4 linked regions of the Schizosaccharomyces pombe genome follow. The protein of the gene in region 1 interacts with the protein of each later gene in a pairwise test. Each region holds a gene or a part of one and is shown in the gene's direction. Other genes may lie near its edges. The genes, in order: SPOM_SPAC3G6.07, pop5, nce103 and sen15.

The links.
Region 2: the proteins of SPOM_SPAC3G6.07 (region 1) and pop5 interact in a two-hybrid assay, tested with the Schizosaccharomyces pombe proteins (one large-scale study listed by BioGRID).
Region 3: the proteins of SPOM_SPAC3G6.07 (region 1) and nce103 interact in a two-hybrid assay, tested with the Schizosaccharomyces pombe proteins (one large-scale study listed by BioGRID).
Region 4: the proteins of SPOM_SPAC3G6.07 (region 1) and sen15 interact in a two-hybrid assay, tested with the Schizosaccharomyces pombe proteins (one large-scale study listed by BioGRID).

What each region holds. Positions count from the first base shown.
Region 1 is NC_003424.3:5,390,221-5,394,069, forward strand, and holds SPOM_SPAC3G6.07 (uncharacterized protein), read left to right. Parts: upstream 1-2,004; 5' UTR 2,005-2,052; coding exon 2,053-2,430; 3' UTR 2,431-2,678; downstream 2,679-3,849. Other genes in the region: FEN-1 endonuclease Rad2, read right to left, coding at 1-487, 869-959, 1,029-1,041; erv1 (sulfhydryl oxidase), read left to right, coding at 3,468-3,849.
Region 2 is NC_003421.2:2,196,434-2,202,071, reverse strand, and holds pop5 (Rnase P/MRP subunit Pop5), read left to right. Parts: upstream 1-2,216; 5' UTR 2,217-2,378; coding exon 2,379-2,798; 3' UTR 2,799-4,015; exon of another isoform or gene 4,016-4,218; 3' UTR 4,219-4,346; downstream 4,347-5,638. Other genes in the region: nucleoside triphosphatase Ham1, read right to left, coding at 10-83, 220-284, 342-443, 548-554; yop1 (ER membrane protein DP1/Yop1), read left to right, coding at 4,960-5,010, 5,144-5,426, 5,550-5,638.
Region 3 is NC_003423.3:3,640,123-3,644,978, reverse strand, and holds nce103 (putative carbonic anhydrase), read left to right. Parts: upstream 1-2,794; 5' UTR 2,795-3,028; coding exon 3,029-3,763; 3' UTR 3,764-4,037; downstream 4,038-4,856. Other genes in the region: histone lysine methyltransferase Set6, read left to right, coding at 1-1,161; rpp201 (ribosomal protein P2), read right to left, coding at 1,395-1,418, 1,482-1,790; protein mug45, read right to left, coding at 4,038-4,856.
Region 4 is NC_003424.3:3,389,552-3,393,928, forward strand, and holds sen15 (tRNA-splicing endonuclease subunit Sen15), read left to right. Parts: upstream 1-2,707; coding exon 2,708-3,139; 3' UTR 3,140-3,334; coding exon of another isoform or gene 3,335-3,477; 3' UTR 3,478-3,555; downstream 3,556-4,377. Other genes in the region: U3 snoRNP-associated protein Utp7, read right to left, coding at 277-1,839; SPOM_SPAC959.11 (uncharacterized protein), read right to left, coding at 2,358-2,723; alpha-1,2-mannosyltransferase Omh6, read right to left, coding at 3,335-3,477, 3,574-3,860, 3,932-4,377. UniProt on the Schizosaccharomyces pombe protein: Non-catalytic subunit of the tRNA-splicing endonuclease complex, a complex responsible for identification and cleavage of the splice sites in pre-tRNA. It cleaves pre-tRNA at the 5' and 3' splice sites to release the intron.

The sequences.
Region 1 (3,849 bases):
AAATGTCAGGTGTCTCAAAAGTACAGGAGCTTGGAAGCACAATGTGTCCATGTCCTCAGAAGCAGCAGCATAAACTTTTCCTGAACGGGCTAAAGCGGCACATTGAGCTTCTGCTTCACAGGGTGCGTTAACGAAGGGAATTCCCATTAACTCTAGTAAACGTTTTGCTTCGTCATTATGTTGCCGAGTAACTTTGACCGTACGTTTGGCAAACCGATCCACCATTTCAGCTGTACCAACCTCTTTTGTCTCCTCTTGATCCTCTCGTGCTTTTTGATGTCGGGCCACACGTTTAGCTAATTCCCCTGACTTCAATGTTGGTGGTTTTCCATCAAAGACAAAGCAAGGCTTTATTCCATTATCGACAATTCGGAGTGTACGATAAAACATTCCCATTAAATGACTAGTAGTCTCGCCTTGTTCATTCATTAGCTGTTGACCATCTTGACTGCGAACTTGAATTAAAAATTGATAAAGACTCATTGACCTGTAATATACGAAATTAGCATTAATAAAGTACCTCAAGAAGACTTTATAAATCAACCCTTCGAAAAGGAAAGAATCAGTTGAATAGAGTTTGACCTATTAGTGTTTGCAACTTCAAGAACCAACAAAGTAAAGAAATGATGTAAAATACCTTGAGCAATGAATTTAACCGAGTCACTGTTAGTGAAAATTTATTCATCCTTTATTCTATATTTCGTTTGTATCATATCTTTGTCTCGAGTTAAGACATAGAGCTTTGCTCTTTAGCAATAAAAACTGTACACCATAGTGTTTAACCCATATTTACAAACAAAATCAGAAGCCATACAGTCTTTGCCAAGTCAACTGAGACTTTCGCTTTCTATTTAGTCTTTCAACTTACGCATCTATAGCCACTTTCCGTCCAAAATAATTTTTAATATCATTATGTTTGACACTGGCTGGGGCATGCTCGCTTAGTACTTGAGCCAAACCTAACCCAGATTAGTTTTAAGTAAAGGAGAGAGTAAAAGATAAACTCTTTAGCGTTAAATGTAACATACCTTTAATTCCCATCGTTTAGCAAATATACTTATTTATGTATATTACGAGATCCCGAACAACGCTTTCTCCAAAACTAGCTTAGAGCTTCTTATTAAATTTTCAATTTTTGCTAGATGTATTATACTCCTCAAAATCGAGCAGTTTTTACTTTGCTCACTCACACAAAGGTTCTTAGCTACCAGCAGTAGTATCCACGTCAAAGAGTCGATTCAGTAAATCACATGTTACTTTTCCATAAAGAATGATCGACCAAAGAATGTAAATACAAGGAAAGGGACCAGCCAATTTATACTGAAAATTCCCATGTATTATAGCTTTTAAAAAAGGATTTCTAGAAGGAACAAATTAGAAATTTTAAGATTACCAAATTGAGGTTCTTGTGGTTTTGGTGGCAGCACGGCTGTAAAATGTAAATCACCTCGCAGTTTACTACCACGAAAAGATCTCGAAAAGGTAATGTACCATCAGAAATTCTGGAAAAATGATCGATTCCTTTTTCCGGATAAGGAATAGGATGAAAAGTACATTGGAACTTTACCGAAACCCTATTGACTTGGCTAGATGTAAGTCTGTGTAACATAAGGTTGTTTTTATGAGAATAAACCAGTGGTTTTACGGTACTGAGATACCGTAGTGAGAAAGCCGCTTGAATTGCTCAACGTAATATTTTTAATAGAACAATAGCCTTGATTCATGGAACAATGTTGGATAATAGGCATTTTACCAAGAGAGTATTATTTGAAACTCGCCATATCTGCTACTGAATCGTCGAAAATATAATCGTAACCAGTTTATGGTATCGCTTGTGTAGTATGCAGACAACGAACAATATTGCAATATTCTACTAATAAGGTTCCTTTACCGACGTATTTCGTGCGGATCAAAACGTCATTCTGATCTTACGTTGGCAAATTCTAGTTAATGTCGGCTCGTTGAAAGAATATTATATGAGATGCTGCGCGCCTTGCTTACAGTATACTCATATCCCAGTGCAACCTCAATTTACCTGTGAAAGCAAGAACAATGTCTGAACAAAGCTCGCCATACTTAACATTGGCACCTGCCGATTACGAAGGAGAAGATGTCTCTAATGAAAAGGAAAAAAACAGTGTTATTCCTGATGTTATAGACTATTATAACAAAGGTAGACAATATTACCAATCGTTTGTGGTTTATAAAGCAACTGCTAATACCATTTTCCAATTTTCATATTTGTTGTATATATACATCGACCTCACTAAAGCTGATCAAACCGAAGTGTTACAATTTCTTAAAACATATGTTGAGGATGAATCGTTTGTTGGAGATGATTTTGTTATGCCAAAGTATACACTGGTTTTACCATATCGAGTGTATCGTGATCATGTAAAAAAACATGGAGATATTATAACGCCAAAGTGAAGTGCTAAATCTATTTTAATGTTTTCTTTTGTTTTTAAAGAACTTTCTGCTTGCATGAATCGCTCATTTTATAAGCAAATACCAGTTATATTGCTTCGCTTATTGTTATGATTTTTATGGATTCAAATCTAAAGAGAATTGCTAAATAGTGATTCATTAGTTAAGTTATTTATTTTTTAAAAAAAATAATAAATTCAACAAAATAAATGTAATCCTTTTTTTTTGGATCTTTTTTTCTGCTTCTTTGCTTTGCAAGTATTGAATTTTTTAAGTTTTTTGAATTTTGTAGCTTAGTAAATCGATCTGTAACCTTTTGAAAAAACAAACTTAAAAAAATACATGTTATAGTATGCACAGTGATATAATCAAAGTTGAACCTCTATTTGTTGATCCCAAATCGAGTTAAGGAAACATTCCTTAATATTACATTACTTTTCGAATTTACATTTGATTACAAAGAATGAATCTTGTTCATTGCAAAAAGGGTTCAAAATGTTATTCGAGTTTTATTCTCGATTATTGATGCACTAGGTTTGAATGTATTATGTTTAGTCTTACAAAAAAAAAAATAAGAATAAAAAAAAAAATAAATTCAGGGTTGGCTCCTAAAATTAGGTATGGTTTTCAAACTTTTATGCGATAAACTTATAATACTTTCCTAATTTCACACAGTACGCTTTATAGTTCAAATCTTCAATTTATTAAAGGACTAGTTTTACGTGATAAATGTTTACATCTAGACAACTCAAATTAGCTTATTACAAGTTTTAATAAATACGATTTTAAGCCATAAGCCTTTGGACAAGAAAAACAGCGAAATTCGCAACAGTTCCATATTTAACAGTGGTGTTTTCAAATGCCTTTGTTAGTAATCAACGGCGCTGAAGTACTACGTTATATAATTATTTGGTTAAAAGTAGATGAATTTAACTTGTAAATTGAGCATCATACATATTTGGCTGTCGAATGCTACTGACAGAATCATTTGTAGGTAAAAATTTGGTATTGTCCGTTCCTTATTTCTCAATCAAGTTAAAATGGTTTTTGGAAAAAGATATCGCGATAAGGAGACAGGAATTATTTACGACGAAAACGGGAGACCTTGTAAAACATGTAACATATTTTCTTCCTTTCGAAATGTTGCTCAACAACCTAATAGTAGCACTGTCCCTGAAGTAAAGTCAAATACCCAGCTTGAAAGCAAACAATCATCTATAGATTGCAATACCAATGCAATCCCAGATAGCGTATCGTTTCCCAGGCTTCCAGATGTCGCTGAACTTGGAAGGAGTACTTGGACGTTCTTACATGCAATGGCCGCCAATTTTCCAAAAAATCCAACACCCACTCAACAAAATGATATGTCCAGTTTTCTGTACAATTTTTCAAAATTTTATCCTTGTTGGTCTTGTGCAGAAG
Region 2 (5,638 bases), on another chromosome or scaffold:
TTCACATACACATAAGGACCAGGGAGTCCATTCATTGCCTTATAGCCTAGCCATGTGTCCTCGACTAAAACAGGTCCTTTAACCTATTAGCGTTAGAAGGTTGCTCCGATAAAATGAAGAATGACAAAGAGAAGTAAAAACAAGATTCAATCGAATAACCATTGCGATAATAATTCGTTGCATTGATCAGCATAATCCTAAACCATCATTTGAACTTACAATTTCAGCGGCAGCTTTACATTTTTCTAAAACAACTTCCTTGACGCTTCCTTGGATTTCCGGTACTTTAAAACATCATGTTAGCGATAATTTGCTGTCGAGAAAATTGAATAGCTGCATACAATCGTAATCATGGTTTTTGATTTCAAATCGGTCACCAAGGATATTCTTTACATCTGCCAGTTTATGTTTATTTCCTGTGACGAATAAAATAGACTGTAGTACTATGGGACAGCAATCTTGTTAGTTATCATTCCGCTGAAAAATATTGAAGATGCAGATACCGCACATTAATTAATTATGAAGAATCCTTCCAAAATTGACTTACTTGTCATCTTGATATCCTGTCGTTTTTAGAGTATACTATATTCTATAACAATTAACGACTCTTAACAGCTGTTGAAATTGGTGAAAAGGTAAGTTGCTTCTTATACATTGGTTCATCGTATGTGTCCTCAAATATTTTTTATAAGAATAAACTCATAAAAAATATACTATATACGCTTATATATTGTTATTTTACTAAAGCGCGCGATCTTGGAAAATTGTCAATTTACCATGTAAGACAATAAATGAGTTGTACAACAAATGCGTAAATCAAAAGTATTAGGAAAAAGGTTGGTTTACGTAAAAACAATAGCTGAAAGATTTTTTAGTCTTAAAAAAATAACCAATCTTTTAAAATTTTGGAGCAAAATATACACCAAATTTAGTAAACATGTAAGCGAACTCTCTTCACAAGTAAATGCAAGCAACTCTTGACATTTGTATACCACCTGCTTAAATCGTTAACAAAAAAATTTTTATATTCTTCTACTTAATACAAACCAACATGACCTAAAAAGTGCGTTGAGTTACACGAACCTTTGGAAATTTACGTATCATCGAAAATTCATAGCTATGAATTCGAAATAATTATTAATAATTATTTATTCCCAAAGATCTGGGAAAATTAAAAAAGCTTTCTCAAATTGCAACTTATTAATTTTTATTAATTCCAATTTTAATTGAATTTACATATATTTTTTATTTTCATTTGAGTTGAAAAGTCTTTCCTTTTCAATCCTGCAGTATTTCAAAAATTATTACTCTTAATTTAAATTTTTTTTATCTACCCATGTTTTATTAATATTACATTCTTTACCTACATCCTTTTTATTATGAAGGCCAAAAAAAGTTTACTAAAGTTCCATTTTTTATAGATCATCATACCTATATGAATAAAGATTACATTTCATCAGAATAAATTTAAATTTAATCAATGTTATCCTTTGACTACTAACTACGATAATTATCCCATTGTATATTAATCAGTAGAATGGGAGGAATGCTTTACAACTTCTTCCCATGACAAATTCATATATCAATTGAAGCTAATATTCATGGTCATATATAAAGCAATATCAAGTAGATACAGGGTAACGTTTTCTACTGAATAATCGAGGTGTTAATGCTCTGACTTAGTTCATGATTCCACTGAATGTACGAATGATTTCATTGATTTGTATATTCTGACTGTTCAGGGATAGATACATGCAAGGAACCAAACGATTAATAAAAAAATAATCATTTTATTTAAAATTTATTCATTTTCTGAGGATGTTGAAATTGTTTCTGATAGACCTCTATAACTGTTTGTTCCAAAGGGATTTAAAGTTAAAAAATGAATGTTTACTGTGTCGTAAGCATGATTATCGTGCATTTAGAATTTGCATGTCTTCTAGTCTAATTATAACCAAATACCATTTACTTAATCTTAAACAAATTATCTACCGCTATGGCAATGTAGCAAAAGCAATTAAACATATTGAAATTTACGACTAATTCTAATCGTTCATTGTAAACACCTGTTAGATAATATGATTTTTTCTTTAAATTTCTATTCCATTAAATCTTAAAAGCAATAAATTATAACACAGACGTCTCTATAAACTGTTTTCTGAGAAATTTATTCGTTGAGCAAGTTACATTTCTCTAACCGGTGTGCAATAAGTAGCAACGTTCATACCCACTACGATCCATTTTTGGGCAATTCCATTTCCAGCATTATTTATTCTTGTTATAGCATAACGATAATTTATTATTATTATTTGTCTCAAAGGTCATATTTCAATCAAAATCGCTGATTAAACTACAAAAAATATATATATCGTAAAACTATGGTTCGCTTCAAATCCCGATATTTACTTTTTGAAGTATTATATCCTGAAGCAAAAGAGTTTTTTGACTATCCTACTATCCCTTCTGATAGTTCTATAACTACGTCTAGTCTTTCTAAAATAATTAGAACCATGGTTGCAGAAAATTTCGGTGATGTTGGTATTGGAAAGGTTGCATCTAGTCTAACTGTAAAATATTTTTCACCTAATACATCTACTGGCATTCTGCGGGTCTCAAGACAGCATTTTCGTTTGGCATGGGCCGCATTAGTTTTAATAAGGGAATTATATGGCAAGCCTGTAATAATTCGCGTGGTTCGTGTATCTGGTACAATAAAAAAGGCAGAATTAGCTGCCATTGAACGAAATAAATCAGAAATTCATAACATCTCTCTGATGGATGAACCTATTGAAGTTTAAACCCTCCATCTTTGGCATTTGCTGGGTTCGCAAGTTTTTACTTTGACTTCACCTCTAAAGATCGAACTCAAGACGAAATTTTTTTTATGCCTTCATGTGCTTCAAACTTATATATTGATTCCTTGGTTTCGTTCCAAAACCCAATTGATGCAGTGTGTGCAGAAAGTTGCTGCTGTATCCACCTTATTTCTCATGGGTATATTCATATAAAACTTTAATTCATTAATCCAGAGAGGAGGCATATGTTTACCCATAGCTGTTTAGATTTTGAAATTGAGGATCTGGGAAGATCTAAATAACAAGTATGCTGCATTTCCATTGCCAAGTATGAGTAAACTCTTTAAACTATACAACTATTCAATCGCCAAAAAAAAATTTGATGAACTTGGAGCTATTAAGTTAATACTTTTCTCTTGGAAAATGAGATATCGTCTGTTTTGGGAATACCTTGTTTACTATTTTCATTGTATCATCTGTTAAGCTTGACAACGGCCAAAAAGAGTTGTATCTACGAATGCATACTTTTGCCCATAAAAAAATAAACATTTACGTATTGGAATGAAAAAAATCATTGCAGGTCTCAGTAAACATCTCATGAATGTGTTTTCTTCGTGGGAAGGTACATCCTTAATATATCCCAATGATTCTAAATTTCCAGCAATCGTTATCAATTTTATTTTTTACAGACAAACGAATAATTTATTTAGCTGTTGACGGATGCTATAATTCTATGTCGTTAAAGACTGTATACACTTTACAGTTTGAAAAGTTTGCTTGACATTTACCGGTGCTTCTACAAGGTCTAAAGTAAGAAAGATAAACCAAAACTATTGTCATTACAACAGTTAACAGTAGCCAAAGACAGCTATAATCCCAACAAACATATAAAAATTCCTTAAATTAGGGGATTTTCTCAAGTAACGATTTTAAAAACCAGATAACAATCCTACTGAGTCAAAGAAGCAACCATATCCTTATAACGAAAACATCAGAAATTACTCAAATGATTAACAATATCAATAAACTAATCTATCAATTATTTTCGATGAACATTACTTCTTCTTATCCTTGATTAACAGCTATGTATGCTATTTTATGATATCTTCTCTTGAAAACCCCAAAAAAACAGTCACATTAAGAAGAATATAAAGGGCACTGTGCTTTCTGCTTTTGCATAGTTCTTTCACCTGGAGTGTGCTCATCTAAATAGTAAATAGGTAAGTTTCATCATTTCACAAATGGAGATTTCAGAGGATGCGAAATATATACCCAAATTGTATAGCAAGGATAACGGGGTAATCGTTTTGGTTGCCTTCTTGCAGTGATAAAGCATTTTGTCATAGTTACACTGATGAAATTCTTCATTTGCTTAAAACTTTTTGGTCTTAAGTTTGAAAATTCTTTACTAATTTTGAAATAGATAAAAGAAGCCGTTTTTAACAGTTAGACACCATCCTATTCTTGAGATGGTTTTTTTATTCGATCCACGAGTTTTTGATAATTACCGATACTATAAATTTAATAAGAAATTAAAAATTTACTTTATTAAGTCAAAACTTGTTTACATTTAGTAGTAATTTAATTACAATTGAAAGAGTAATGTTGGTAGTGATATATATCTATGCAGACTTGTATGTAATGTAGACATTCTTTAAATCAGAGAACCGTAAAGTTCGGTTGTCCTCCTTAACTTTAGATAATGCAACCGTACATATTTTGCAGGGCTTGACTTTAGCGAACTGCATAGTCCAGTTGTTCATGGTTTGGTTAAAACAATACAACGTAGCATACTGTGGAAGTAAATCGCTCATTTTTGCTATGGTTTTTTTACTGTTAAATGCTTTGGTAATGAAGTAAATAAACTTAGACAGAAACACAAGATGACTGTTTGATCGGCTGAAAATACATACGGCAATTCTTTTGAAAATCGGATTGTATTTGTACTATACAGTATCGTATTTACTGCGACTTTCCTATGCACTAATTAATATACCACACTGACGGTACGAAGCGAATGCCTGTAATCGTGACGTTGTTCACTACCACCGATAGAATAAATGCAAACTTATCTTTAGCAAACAACTCCCATATTCTAAGACAAATAGTTCGTTCAAAAGAAAAATTATTGAACACTCAGATAATTTAATTAAGCAGTACCAAAATGTCTTTTCAAGTTCGTGTTAAGCAGAATATGCAAGATTTGGATAACAGGGTATGTTAGCAATAAGGCAGGATATCCGATGGAAGCCGCTTTACGCACTCGGCAATATAGGCTATTATTAGTATCTTGTGATTTTAGAAATTATTCTTTCTATTCAAATTTGTTTACTAACTTTTTTTTCCAGTTGGCAGCCTTTCCTCAACTCAACAGTTTGGAAAAAAATTTTGGTGTTAGCAAGCTTTATGTTTTTCTTACTGCAGCTGGTATATATGCCTTGTTCCTTTTCTTGAACTGGGGTGGATTTTTACTGACCAACCTTCTGGCATTCGCGATGCCTGCCTTCTTTAGTATCAATGCTATTGAAACTACTAACAAGGCCGATGACACTCAATGGTTGACCTATTATTTGGTAACTTCATTCCTCAACGTTATTGAGTACTGGTCTCAGCTAATCCTTTACTATGTCCGTAAGTGTTTAAATTTTTTGTATTTAGAGGCGTGATTATAAGATCATTAAGGATCTAATAAATTTTGCTCTCTGCTTTTAAATTTATTTTTTTTATTTACTAACTGGGGATTTTCCTTTTTAGCTGTGTATTGGTTACTCAAGGCTATTTTCTTGATTTGGCTTGCTTTGCCTAAATTCAACGGTGCTACCATTATCTACAGACACTTGATC
Region 3 (4,856 bases), on another chromosome or scaffold:
ATACTACCTTCTGTATGTCGGTTATTAATACGATTGTATCTCTTATGGCAAAAAAATCCTGCTATCATTGAACCTATGGAAGGACACCAAAACGAATTTCAAGCTGTATCCTCCAGTTGGTCAGATGCAGAATTAATTGCTTCTGCAGCCTCACATTATACCCAAATTTATCAAGCAGAACTGTTTCAAAAACTTTTCTGTAGGCTAGCTGTTAATGCTATGAATCTTGTAACTTCGTCTTTCGATTCTTTGGGTATGTGTTTAGATACTATACTCTGTCGCTTAAATCATTCTTGTGATCCAAATTGCCAAATAATTTTCGATGGTGCAATTGTGCAGCTTGTTTCTAAACGTGATATTAAGAAAGATGAACAGCTTTTCATCTCATACATTGATATTCGACTTCCAAAGTCAATCAGACAGAAACAGCTTCTCAAAAAGTATTTTTTTTCTTGTTATTGTCCAAGGTGTGAGAACGACCACACTACAAAAGAAACAGATGGTTCAAAATGGATGGGACGACTTCGCAACTCTAAATCGCTTATGAAAAATTTAGCAATGGCCAGGGACTTATGGTCCTGTGGTTGGAAACAAACCGCTTTTCCTTGGTCCAATCTTTTACATCATATTAAACTAGGAATGCTTGATGAGTCTAATTTCAATGGTGCGTTTGCCGCTTTATATCTGAAAAGTAGTGCTGATGAATTTTTGGATGCACTTCATGTGGTTGATGAGTATCAATTACTGCTTTTGGGAAAGCAAGTGGCTATGGAAGTAAAGCATTTAATGTTTCCTAATGACAAACCTTTGGAGATGGAGTTCCCGTCCAGCTCTCAACCTCAGCAGACTGTACCTACCAATAACTCGTTATTTTTATTGAAGAATATACCATCATTTGGAGGGTTACACCACTGTATTTTGGGCCGCTATTCTATTTCCCTTGATGATTTTGTTTTGTGGCTTTTAGATAGGGCTCAAAGGCTACAGCAAGCAGTTAGAATAAGTCATCCTTCGACCACATTTTGTTCAAATGTGGAAAATGACATTAAAGAAATATTTGAGGTTTGTAAAGACTATTGCATGCTTCATGTTCAAAACAATTTGAAAGCATTTGAAGAAAAATTATGGGCCGCTTGTAAAGACTTCCTAGTAACATACTAAATAAAATTTATTATTCTCGAAACAACGACTTGCTTTACAAGTGTAAAGTCTCTTATATTCAAATCAACAACACGGGGCACCAGTGGTACATTAACATTTAAAGTAAGCTAAAATTACATTTATCAAACGAAAAATACTATTACGAATGGAGCACTAAAAAAAAATTGGTAAAATAAAACCAACACGGCGATTTATTTTTATGAAAGCGTAATGAAAACAAGGGATCATTTGGTTTAGTCGAAAAGACCGAAACCCATCTAAAATTGTTAGTAAGATGCTTTTGAGAAACAAAGAATGCTTCTTATCTAAAATTAACTTACGTCTTCATCAGATTCCTCCTCTTCCTTGGCTTCCTCCTTAGCAGCCTCCTCAGCAGCAGGGGCAGCACCGCCAGCAGCGGCGGCAGGAGCAGCAGAAGCAGCACCACCAGTGGGGACAGTAGCAAGCTTCTCGTTACCAGCAGCGATGAGCTCGTCGATATCCTTACCGTTAAGCTCGTTGATCAAAGTTTCAATGCGCTCAGATTCAGCTTCAATACCGACAGTAGACAAAACAGACTCGATATCAGAAGCGGAAGGGGAGTCCTTTCCACCAACGGTCAAGAGTAAATAAGCTGCAAGGTACTTCATTTTGACGAGGAGTGCAGTGCGTGTTGATGGCAGAAAGTATTAAGCATTCACAACACTAAGGGACTCGAAACTTTTGTGACTGGTTTTCGAGTTAGGTTAGGGTATGTGTTTGAGTGGAATGCTGCGATGATTTCTAAGGTTTGTTATATTCGTTTAGTTGACGAGCACGATATTTACAAGCTTTTTCTACAAGTTCAAATCAACCTAAATAGTTGTTAGTTAAGGGCGTGCTAATTATTTTTATAATAGTAAGAAAACCGTATGCACAAAGAGGCATAATTAATGTCATACACGTATTTGAGTTTATCAATGGGAATTGAAACAAACATATTAATGTTTGGTAAACTGACGGTTTAAATATAACTTCAAGTGCTTAACTTACTGGCCGAGACTTGAAATAGCTGTATAAGCTATTGAATAAATTTTCTCAATTGTCTTTACTTTCATTTCATTCCTCCTATTATGGGTAACAATGGGCAATTGTTTTTTTTTCGTCTTTTTTTATAGTAATGTCAGCGGTGCCCATGTTAACAAATGTTTCAATCTACAAAACCTAATTATCGCTTAATTTAATTTTAGATTAACTTAATCGAAAACACGTATAACGATAAGACGATATACTCGTAATTGATAAATGACGGATTCTTCTCCAATAATTTTGTGTTTAGAAAAAAAAAATTTCGCACGGTTGCGAAATCTTTATGGCTGTCAACATTTTATTCATATTTGGGACAATTTGCAATTTTAAGCCAATCGTATCCGGTTTTTTGTTAACTGCGAAGCCGTCAAAACTATCCGTAGGTAGTCCCTTGCAAAGATCTAGCAAAATAAATTACATTATATAATAGATAAACCAATAAACCTTACCTACTCGACGGACGGGACGGCTTGTTATCGGAGTATTAGCTATACATCAAAGTTCATCATCATAGCTTTGCTCACATCACAAACGTTTCCATTTTTGTCGTGTGGTATAAAAACGTATCATGCTCCCACCATTCGGTGCTTTGACAACTACAAAAATTCCGCTTCCAAAAACCATACTCCAGTCTACCTTTAACCAAATAAAAAGTAGCAGCTACTCGATAATAGCGGCTCCGCGGTTAACATCGAGATTCATTCGTTTTCCTTGTAATTATAATAGTTGTTTACAATCCATATCTTTTTCATCGCTTGGAAGAAAAAGATTGTTTTTTTCGTCTAGTCAATTGTTAGAGAAAAGTGATAAAAAAAAGAAAATGCCTGATAGATTGAAACGTCGTATTGAGGAAATCGATCATCAAGACGAGATAATCGACAGAGAAGCTTCAACCGCTTCTCCCGTTTCTGGCGCTGGTAAAATTGACCAGAATGGGGAAATCAAAGATTTGCTTGAACGCAATCTGACTTGGTCACAACAAACTAGCAGAAAGTACCCATCCTTTTTTACAGCCACCAAAGATATTCAAACTCCTCAAGTTCTTTGGATCGGATGTTCAGATTCTCGTGTTCCTGAGACCACCATTCTGAATTTACTTCCAGGTGAAGTCTTCGTTCATCGAAACATTGCCAATGTCGTTCCTCGTTCTGACATTAATGCTTTAGCTGTTATGGAGTACTCCGTGACCGTATTAAAGGTTAAGCACATCATTGTCTGTGGCCATTATGGATGCGGTGGTGTCGCTGCTGCTCTTGGTCCTAATTTAAACAATTTGTTGGATCATTGGTTGCGACACATCCGTGATGTTATCGAAGACAATCGTGAAGAACTTGACGCCATTGAAGATCCCCAACTTCGTCGCCTTAAACTTGCCGAACTTAATACTCGTGCTCAAGCAATTTCTGTAACCCGGGTTGGCTTTGTTCGTGAAGCAATGGAAAAGCGTGGCTTACAAGTTCATGGCTGGATTTACGATCTTTCCAATGGTCAAATCAAAAAATTGGATATCACGGACGCCATCAAAAAGGCCAAATACGGTACTTATGATAGTTAATTTCACTGGAAGTTTTCTCAACCTCGACTTGGTTACGATTGATTTATGTGAGTTTTTCTGTTTGTTTTTTTTGTTTAGATTTTTACTATCTCCGATTGGTTCAAGTATTTAAAAGTTTTGTAATAAGTTTATACCTTTTGATGAAGTATGGCATATCGAACGAACTGCGCATTTGTCGCCGTGTCTTGAATTAGTTATATAATGATTGACAAGACGGACGATACCTTAGATGAAAATCGATATAGCAATAGTAAATATAGTTTCATTGACTGTGTTAATTCGTGTAAATAAAAACAACTTGTAATATTAGATAAATTCCTATCAAAAGAGTCAACAAACACATGGCCGTTGTGCTTACATTAACATTCAAGATAACCTCAATTAGCTCAAGCAGTAGCTTTATTATATTTTTCGCGGGTCCATATATACTATAACTATTTTGAAGGATTATAAATTCGCTTTTGAAATCAAAATAAGTGTAGTTTTGTCTAGGTTCAAAATCGAAGCCTCCATTTTGACTAAAATAAAATGAACCATCGAATAATAATGTACTGTTTGTGTATACAATGGTTTGAAATTCAACCAGTGTACGTGAATCGGTGGGCGGTAAAAATTGGGGAAGATAAACACGATATTTAAATAAATTATAGCGTTCGGGTTTAATTAATATTCCTATCTCCAATAAAAGTATTTGTTTTCTCGAAGTAGTTCGAAAAAAATATGTGCCATCCTTGCAAAAAAAATTAGCTTCACAATTATCCACATAAGCCCAGGAAATCCACATATTTTTTGATAGTTTTACCCCATATACATCCCTTTCCCTGGCGTCATTAAATATATAGGAAGAAGAAAAATGCAAAAAATATTCATGCTTGCTTATTTGTAGTATTTTAATTGTTGGACGCAATAAATGAAACTCCTGGGTAGGATAATTAGTTTTAATTTGCAAATTCCTATTAACCTTTTTCAGAAGTTTGAAATGGCAGTAATCAGAGATTTCTTGAATTTGGAGTACAGGATTTGTAAGCAGTCGCCAGTCTGCTAAAAGTTTGAACTTTAAATAAATATCATAATACTCCAATAATTGTTTAAA
Region 4 (4,377 bases), 2.0 Mb from region 1:
TTTGTTTGCTAATATTATAGGATTTACTGGTTTGATCTTTCAACTTGTTGTCTACAAATGGAAACAAAGAGAGGGTTAGGATGATCCTTGTTTTACATTTATATATGCTTGCACAATGTACAATTTTTCAAATAGGCATTTTATTTTTTTTGTGAGACATATTTAATACAATAAATCCGTAACCCTAAATACCTTATACATCACATAGTCATATGTAATTGGCAAAATCTAATGCAAATATTCTTATTATTAGCCCAAGTATTATACACAACCGAATTATTTTTTGGAAACAAATCTTGATAAAGCATATCCCCATTTTTCCCGTTCCTCTGGAAGTTTTTGCTCGCGACGAACACGCTGAGCACGCATTTTTTTCTCTATCTCTAAAGATTTTTCAACTTTGAGACGACGTTGGTCAACAACGTTTCTGGCATGTTTGCGTAAATATCTTCGTAAAGCAGAGTTTTTACCACGGGCTTTTGCCTTTGGTACCCATTTTTCTTCAGGCGGCTTTTCTTCCTCGGCTTCAGCCTTTCGAAGCGACGGTGCAGCTCTATCAACATTACCGATAAAATCAGCATTCAAAGAAATCATTTCTGGGCGAAGCTTCTCCAAAAGTTGGCGAACTTCAGTTTCTTGACGTTGTTTTCGAGAAGCAAAAGGATCGTTTTCATATGAATCATAATTGGGTTCACCAGATCCAGGAACAATGATGCTTTCGAATCCCTTTGCATGTCCGATACCTAAAATATCCTCATACGGACAATAATGAAGATCAACAACGGATGAAGAGGGAAGCAGATGATTCATGTATGGAAAATTTTGTTTAGTTCGTAAGGCATCTTTCCAAATCGTAGCATGTGGTCCCCATCCAACGGCTAGCAATCCCCGGTCACTGAGGGTTAAGCGCTGAGCAGGTGTAGGGGTGTAATAGGAGTGAAGCTCTTTGTAAGTTCGAAGGTCCCAAACTTTCAGTAAACTATCGGCACCAGCGGTAACCATATATCTGCCATCACGATTTACTGCCAAATCACGTACAGGCCCGCGATGAGTAAGCATTTTGACAAGAGGTGTAGTTGAAGATGGAGACCAGAGGGTAACCTGGCCATTTGCATGACCAACATGTTCAACAGCGTTATGGGGATTTTGATGTAATACATGGCTAGCACCCATTCCGGTACGGTGTTCTGCAACCAATTGTCCAGTAGAGACATCTTGGTATTTCAAATAGCCAGCATTGCCAATACTGGTCAATAGTAAGTGATATGGCAAAAAATCTAGAGCATTCACTTCGATATGCCGCTTCAAACAGTGAATTTCTGTTCCCATATTATCGTAAACGTAAACATACTTCTTTTGTGCAACAGCAAAATATTGATGGTTATGAAACCATTTAACATCTCGAACGGTCTCTCTTAAATGTAGCTCTGTGAGTAATTTACCAGTACGCCAGTCAAACGCGGAAATATGACCTTTTCTTCCACCTAATAAAATCATTCTTCCATCTCTTGTATAATCAAATGAGTAACCACCAAACTTATCCAAATCCAAGGAGAAAGACTTTGTAGCCGTCTCAAGTGCAACATTAGGAGCCAGTTGATCTTGACGAAACTTGTATGTCCTTTCAAGGCCCTCGGCTTCCAAAAGACCGGGATTATCTTCATGTAAGATTTCGGTTTTCGCCAAGGAAGACTCAACATTCTCAATTCTCTCCTCGATTTTCTGAATATTGCTTCGAAGCTTTTTATCCTTGATTTTCTTTGGATTCAGCTTGCGCCCTCTAGAATATTTTTTTGTAGAAGCATTAACATCCTCCAAATTCAACTTTTGAGCAGACATAATGCTAACTAAGTAAAGATATTAGTGAGGAAAAAAGATTTTTTTTTCTTTTTAGGCCTGATTATACAAAAAAAATGAAGCAGTTTTCTAATAAACAATTCTTTCCAAAATTTAGGTATCTCCCTTAGTCAAAAAGTTAGAAACCCTTCAATTTTTACACAAATGTATTATGTAAACGAAGTGATAGTTAAAAAATTCAAACACTACGTTCGACTTCGATTCTATGACCCAACAGTAGGTTTAGGTTGAGGGCAGGTGGAATGTAGTTCTAGGAATAGGATTTGTGCGTTCTTATTGTAAAAAATCAGAAACTACTACTAACACAATTAGATACAAACCACAATTATTTACAAATAATACAAGTATAATAAAATAAAATTTCATAAAAATTAAGTATGCAAAATAAAAACAAGAAAATTTTAAAAGTAAACCCGAAACCCAGTAAAAACATTATAAGTTCAGACAATGGCCAATGCCAAAACTGCGAAATGAACCATGAAACGAAAATAGCTCAGGAATTAATTCTCCTGCTTTTTGGTCATGGAAAGAAGCTGGATCGAATTGGATATATCGCTCATCTTCGAACCGCTATTATGAGCACTTCTTAGTACGCTCTGCGTAGTGTTGTAATCATCAATACTCTGTAAAAGGACGTTTTGTTGGTATTTGTTGTTTTTAGAGGAGTTTTTGTTTTGTTTTGAGGATTTCTTAACTCCTTTTGAAGTCTGTTTAGGCTTTTTTGACTGCTTGTTCCTTTTCTGTGCCATTTGGTTGAAGTTAAAAGTTTTATCACGGAGGCGATAATTCATTTTTTCAACAAAATTTTCCTTCTCAAAAGTAAAGATATATTTATTATAAACAAATACACATGCAACATAATACATTTCTCCCTAACGATGCTGTAGAAGAGCAAAAGCAAAATCCATACTATGGAATACTGAGAGCAGTGGAAACCGACTTAAGGCTCGGTCAACGTTGGTGTGAATTAAAGGTACATGTTCTTGATATTGACTTAAAAACAAAAAGGCCTTTACTCTCAGGGATTCCCGTAAATGGACAGCTCAAAGACAAATTGCAATATGTTCTGCCGCTTTACCTCCAAGAGACAATTTCGATCGAGTTTCTGTCCTCTGTTTTCGATTCTATGAAGAAACTGAGCCTTCCACTTGTAAAGGATGCTCGAGGTCTTTCTGGAGATGAGTTTTTCCTATACCTGGGAATCATGTGTTCTGACTCAACGATAGTATATTACAAGATCACCGATGGACTTATAAAACCAAGGCAAAATGATGAAGAATAAACACATGATATATACATATTTATTGATTAGGATTGAAAAACGGAAAGACAACGCTATAATTTTACCACTACCAGATTAATTTTTCACTTCAAGTGTCTCAACGTTTGTAAATGAAAATGCACATATTACAATAACTTTCATAAAACAAATTCGTATGAACAAAAATTTTCTGTAAAGCTCATTCATCAATTAATATCACAAACATGCACATCTTCCTGTGTATGGAATAGTTTCTGGGCAATAATGAACATCATCGTTTAAGAAAAATCCCACTGATTCCATATGATTAGCACGCGCTCTTAAAACACCAAATGCTGCTGAAAGGATATCAGACTCGGCTAAATAAATGTCAGCAAAAAGTACAACGTGAAGCATTTATATTAGAAACAGGTTAAATAAAGTCATTTCCAAAATTGAAGAAGCAATTTACTTACTCCAGCGATGATAATATGTTCCTCCTGAACCAAGCAAGTAATTAATTAGGTTGGTGTAGGTCTGATTATGCCGAATTTGCTTTAGAGATAAAATTTCATTAAAAGGCCAGTATTTACAATAGGTGTAGTTGTTACTATAAACCCAGATATTGCTGAAATCTCCTTGAGTGTTTAAAATTTTGTATTCTTCAATTGCCTCTTCCATAGCATATATACCAGAGTGTTTACGTTCACAGACGTGGTTTGTAAATACAATGTCGCTGTCTTTGAAAGTAGAAAATATATCTCTGAACAAAAATATTAGTTAGGTTTCCTGAAAAAGAAGAACGAAATAAACAAGTTTTACCGAGTTTCTTACTTTTTTTCTTCACAAACCAATTTGAGCCCGGGTTCTATTCTCCAAACATAATCGTATTCCAATTGAGGATGATATAATAAAGATCGAACTACCCAATCTTGAAAACTGTGAAACAAAGGAGAGTATACGTAAGATAGATTCTCTTGAGCAAGTGCATCTGCTCGTTGTTGATAAAGTCGATTGTTTTCAACTAGGGGTTTTACTTGAGAAAGATCCCAATGCACTAAGTAAGAGATAGTTAGAATAAATTGTAAATGATTGGTATAAGTTATTCCCTTCGTACCGTATTCACAATGACCAGACGCAATCGTGCTTGTCGTACTCATAAAGTATTCCGTAAACTCATCCATGCCGTAAAACGTCCAAGGATAATGAAACCTCTTATTAAATCTATCCTCTACGCTACGCATCGTGCGCAACACTTCCCCAAGTTCAGCATTACTAGA